Linked DNA regions of Kluyveromyces lactis. The protein of the gene in region 1 purifies or fractionates together with the protein of each later gene. This does not show direct contact. Links are inferred from orthologs where the notes say so. Each region holds a gene or a part of one and is shown in the gene's direction. Other genes may lie near its edges. The genes, in order: SEC28 and RET3.

What was found.
Region 2: the proteins of SEC28 (region 1) and RET3 purify together in Saccharomyces cerevisiae (affinity purification with mass spectrometry, with the first as the bait; 3 studies listed by BioGRID). This does not show direct contact. The link is inferred for Kluyveromyces lactis from reciprocal best matches to the Saccharomyces cerevisiae genes SEC28 and RET3.

Annotation. Positions count from the first base shown.
Region 1 is NC_006039.1:798,427-801,441, forward strand, and holds SEC28 (coatomer subunit epsilon), read left to right. Parts: upstream 1-1,393; coding exon 1,394-2,275; downstream 2,276-3,015. Other genes in the region: ARE2 (sterol acyltransferase), read right to left, coding at 1-783; GET complex subunit GET2, read left to right, coding at 2,586-3,015. UniProt on the Saccharomyces cerevisiae protein: The coatomer is a cytosolic protein complex that binds to dilysine motifs and reversibly associates with Golgi non-clathrin-coated vesicles, which further mediate biosynthetic protein transport from the ER, via the Golgi up to the trans Golgi network.
Region 2 is NC_006042.1:2,524,961-2,527,647, forward strand, and holds RET3 (coatomer subunit zeta), read left to right. Parts: upstream 1-1,372; coding exon 1,373-1,942; downstream 1,943-2,687. Other genes in the region: TAF3 (Taf3p), read right to left, coding at 1-714; RQC2 (Rqc2p), read right to left, coding at 2,185-2,687. UniProt on the Saccharomyces cerevisiae protein: The coatomer is a cytosolic protein complex that binds to dilysine motifs and reversibly associates with Golgi non-clathrin-coated vesicles, which further mediate biosynthetic protein transport from the ER, via the Golgi up to the trans Golgi network.

The DNA of each region.
Region 1 (3,015 bases):
AAATACCACCTCATAAACTGAAATAATATCTCTCCCTGTACGTCTCCAACTGATGACATTTTTTCTGCACAAATATTGTATGACGAATGCAAAATAACTAGTCAGGTACATTGCGATATCATATAACGCAACTTTCCAAAGATTCATGGTCATGTATCGCAAGATAATTGACTGTGAAAAATCACCATGTTCCTCGTAATATTGTAATGTCACTTTGCAGATGGTGAACGCAACTGCCATCCAAAATAAGACATAGAATCCAGAAAAGTCTGTTGCTATAGTTTCATTTGCAATTTCAATAGTATTATTGTCATCTATCCTCACCGTATTTGATCTGGCTGTTGCCTTTACTCTAGAATATTTCTCGTCTATTGCTGGCCCATTGAAATGAGATCTAAGCGGATTGTTGACCATCTCATCCATGATACTACCTCTAGAGCCCCAGTCTACATCTCGTGTCATGGACTGCATTTCATTCGTATCCTTCTTATATCTGTTCTTTTCCTTCACCTTCAATTTCTGCATGAAAACATGCAGATGTTTGTCGCCTTGTTCGGAGGTGGTTCTAGTCTTAAAGATAACCGTGTCGTTAGGCTGGACCGTGTTGAAAAGAACGTCCGGAGATCCAAGTTCATCGAGAACAGCATCCTCCAACTGTTCCTCATGCAAAGACTTCCTCTTCCCATGGTTGTTGTCGTTCAGCCTTCTTATCCTCAAGAACTGCTCATCCTCAGTTATATCCTTAACGGTGGTATCATGTGAACTGTCACTTGAACCGGACATTATGACAGGTTTTTAATTAAAGATCCAGTTAAATAAATCTTTTATGATATATTAACGTGGATTGACTCTTCACCATGAAATTAGTCTGAGATAAATCTAGGCCAAGTCGTGATTCGTCTTAAGAAGGAAAAAATTCTTGCTAACCTCTCTCTCTCACTCAGACGTTTTAAATATAAATCTCAAATCCGGAATTAACCAATGGTCGTAAGAAGTGTACTGTTAATTACTGAATCTGTTTCCTTTTCCAACCCGTATCGTTTAAACGTCCAAAGTAACTGGCTCTGAATTTCTTCTGATAAATACTCTCAATCCCTTAAATAAACGCCATATGGTGATCCACACCTTCGAGAATTATTCGAGAAAGGAAAAATACAAAAAAAAAGATCACGTGAATGAAAAACATCCATTACCCTGATCCTGTCAGTTTTTCAGTTTTGGACAATTCGCATGGTGGATCAAAGTAAGATAGCATATGGACTCTCAATATTAAAGGATACGTGTGAGATAGACCCGTTAATGAGCCAGTAAAGTCGCTTTCAATACACGATAACGGTTAATTGAAGTTTTCCGACGTCAGATTTGTTGAGAAAAAAATATCAACTCAGAAGAAATGGACTATTTTACTGTAAAACAGCAGTTTTATACTGGTAACTATGAAGAAGCGTTGAACGAAGTTTCTAAGTTTAACAAAACTGAAGATGAGGCGTTGACTTACTACAGAAATAGATCATTGATTGCATTGTCCCAGTTCAGTGAGGGTAGTGCTGATTCTGGCTCACTTGGGCCTGTATTTGAGGCTTACTATAAATTTTTAAGCAAACCTACAGGCTCAATCACTGCACTAGAACAAACCGTTGAAAAGGCGGGCAGATCTCCATTTGCATTGAACTTATTAGCAAGTGCATTGACTATAAAGGGCGAGTTTAAAACTGCTTTGGAGGTTGCCGTTGAAGGAATTGACTCCGATGAAACAAGAGGAACCCCGGAACTACTGTTAACGGCCATCCAAATAACTTTGTTGGATAATCAACCAACCATTGCCTCGACTATGTTTGAAAATTTCCAAGCACTTCAGGAGCAATCGAACGACGATGAAATAATTTTGAATCTTGCAGAGTCATACATCAACTTCAACCAGGGTAAAGAGATCACTGGATCCAATTTCTATTTCTTTGAAGAGTTGTCTCAAACTTTCCCAAGTTGGAAGACTCAATTAGGCCTATTGAATTTACACCTCCAACAATCGCATTTGCCTGAATCCAAAGCAATCATCGACCTCTTAGAAAGCGAGTTCTACGATATCAAACAAGAAGCACAAACGTACAAGCCTGATCTACTTGCAAATAAGATTACGTACACCATCTTATCTGGTGGAAATGCAAACGAATTGAGATCGGAATTGCAACAATTGAAACCATCTCACCCACTATGTGTTGCCGACCTTGAAAATAACAAGACTTTCGATCAAATTGTGGCAAAGTACACAGCCTAAATCTATATATATCAAATAGATCTTGAGTAGCAAATAGTATTGGTATTGGCGATACTTTCCGGGTAACATTGTTCTTTTTCCCATCAATTTCGTGGGAACTGTCAAGATAAAGCGGATTGATCAAACATCCTATACAATGTGAAGGGTTAGTTTTGAAACCAGTCACTCGGTATCGTTTTACAAGGCACCTGCGTTGTATTTAGTTCGAATATTCAGGGGAGTTGATCTTCTTATTTTGATTGTCGATCTAATTCTACTTTAGTTTCCCCCGAATTGAGCTGTAATTCACACAGAATTTGGAGTTTACAAGATGGCTACTGAATTGTCTGATGCTGAGAAACGTAAATTGTTGAGGGAAAGAAGGCAACAGAAGTTTTCCAACGGAGGTGCTTCCAGCAGGTTGAACAAGATCACTGGTCAACAGCAGAATAGCTTTTTGTCTTCAACATCTGTTCTTGATGAGCCAAAAGTTACTCCGTCAGGTAACAAGAAATCATCCAATGTGAGTGACGAAGAAGTTGAAAAGTCTACCAAAGAGATTCAAGATTTACTTTCTAGTATTCCCGGTAACAAGGACAATTCTGAAACTGATGCCGCTGAAACGAATCCTGAGGTTGCCCTTTTCCAACAGTTGCTTAAGATGCAACAACAAGGTGGAGGATTCCAAAATGGATCACCAGATGCCAGTACACCGGACCTTTTCAGTTCTTTGCTAAACAACGATACGAATACTACTGCTT
Region 2 (2,687 bases), on another chromosome or scaffold:
TTCTTCATCTTCGTTAATTTCGATTCCAACTGGAATGCATGAATTGGTAATGATAGGTCGACTTCGGCTTAGTTTAGAGTATTTTAATCCAGGAATTGACGGTAACGAAATGAGATCTTGAGGAAGTTTCCCCGACTTCCTCTTCGCAAGTTCTAATTTTTGTGATGTCAACATGAATTGTATCCAGTCATCCATATCCCCGTTGTTTATCATTGCTTCCACCAATTCTGTCTCATCATCTCCATCGTTAGGCTTTTTGTCCGATGTATTCAGCTGGTTGATATACTCCGGAATCATTGACAATGGTTTACTAGTTTTATCACCAACTTTCAACAGGTCTGGACTTGGGGTACTGATAACTCGTGCTTCTGTTGTTGCGGGATCTTGAAGTAACCATCTTTTAAACTGTTGCATACCTTCATCGCCTGCCACGGACGGGTTTTCATCGTAAACATCCAGTAGGTTCATTGGTTTAAATACGCCGATATTGAGCATTCCTTGGGTAATATCTTGAAGGGACACTTCTTCATCTAAATCACGGCGATCCAGAGTAAGTTTCCGTATTTCTTGAATCATCAGTTCTAGATATCTCACATATAAATCAGTAAAAAGATTAACTGTCCCCATTTTGGCTCTATCGAAGCCATGTGCCCTTAAAAGGTGTATCATTGAAATTCGCAGCAGCGAAAAGTAAAAACTTTCATCAGTGGTCATAATTGTGAGGAGCTGAGTAAAGCAATAACACTTTGCTTGCTCAATGCTTAGAGCGTAGAATATACAAAATACTGCAAAGTCTTTGCAATTGGCCGGTATTTAACTTATGATAAATAAATCAAAGTAAATACTGCTTAGTAAATCAATCAGTGTCCTCGAAGCTCAGTACTGGTTGCATTCTGCATCGAACGAACCCCACAATAGACAGTTTTCGTTAATGTATAGTATTTGCATGGCTAACCTACTTATCAGACAGTAAAAGTTACAAGTTCCTTCTGTGTTTTCCATTACCCGGAAACAAATCACGTGATAAGAGATTCGATCAAACACTTGCTGTTTGGCGTTACTGGAGCATAAATCCGTATTCAATGATATCAACAGGCTTTCATTGCCATGGAGCTTTTTACATGGACAGCTTTACAAGACATCCAAAGAAGGCTACTGATTCTAATTACAGGAATGGGCAATGGTTGAGAGCTGAATTCTGCCTCTCTCGAGCGCAGTTCCTATTTGTCCTATATCTTGTCAACTGCAAATTTGGAATTTTCGCGTACCGCCAAACCAGCACTTCCCTCCTGAGACAGTAAACCATTGCATCAGTACTGAATAACACGAATAGCATACCCTGGAAGTAACCAAGAAGAAAAACATAAACAACATGGTTAACTTATCTCTATACACAGTTAAAGCTGTGTTGATTTTGGATGGAGAAGGAAGAAGACTTTACTCGAAATACTTCCATCCACCACACGAAGAAATTTCTGCAGATTCTCTTGCATCCAGCTTAAAGAAGCAAAAAGAGTTCGAATCTAACCTATTTGCTAAAACTCATGGGCAGAATTCAGACATTATGATATCAGACGATCTATTAGTTATTTACAGAGAATATGTCGATGTTTCGATATATCTGATCGGTGCAATCGACGAAAACGAAATTGTTTTGCAAGAAGCATTCAACGGGTTCAAAGATTCCCTAGAATTGATATTGGATACAGGTATTGACAAGAGGAGTGTTCAGGAACATTATGACATGGTGGTTCTAGCAATTGATGAATTGATTGATGATGGTATTATCTTAGAAACTGATCCAGCCACAATTGCCTCTAGAGTGACGAAACCGCCTTCAAAGGATATCCCATTGAATATAGAATTGAATGAAAAGGGTTTGCTAAGCGCGTGGGGCTTTGCCAAGAGTAAATTGGCTGAAAGATTACAGCAGGGCTTGTAAGCTTCTCCTCATTTTCCAGATTTCTTTTATAATCAGACACATATGTTTACCATCGATATGTAAATACTGTGTGAATGTCTTTGCCTCTTCTAATAAAGATGAAACTAAGATAAATATAAATATGAAATACAGTACTTTCACTTTATATGCTAATTAGTTGATTTTAATATGACAGCGTGAAAACTATTCGATTGGTCAAACATATCTCTGAATGATAAGAATTTGCTTGATATTTTTTGTCATCATTTTTTAGACTTCTTACCTTTCGCCATTGATTGCTTTGATTTATGTGATCTGCCTGAGGATGCTTTGTCGTTTCCACCTGGGATGGAAATCTTCAATTTATCAGAACAAATAATAGGAACGACATCCAAAGTTTTGATTAGCTTTATTGTTTCATGTTCTCTTGGCCAATCTAAGTCTTTATCGTACTCCGAACTGTCGACAGTTCTATTCAAGAAGTAATGTAGAGTTTCATTAATAGATTTGCTCTTCTTTGCAGTGCCAGGCTGTATTTTGACTTTATACTTATTTTTAGTTAAAGCAGCCCAGGGGGCATAGACAGGGATAACGTCAGCTATTTTATCATCTTTGGAAATACCGGTTTTCAATTGATTCAAAAATTTTGGAATATCAACTTCGACCTTTTCTGATTTGTTAAACTGCAAGATGCGAGTTTGCTCTTGGTTTTTACGTATCCGCTTTTTAAACTCCCTCTTTTCGGCTCTTTCCATCTCTTCAAGTT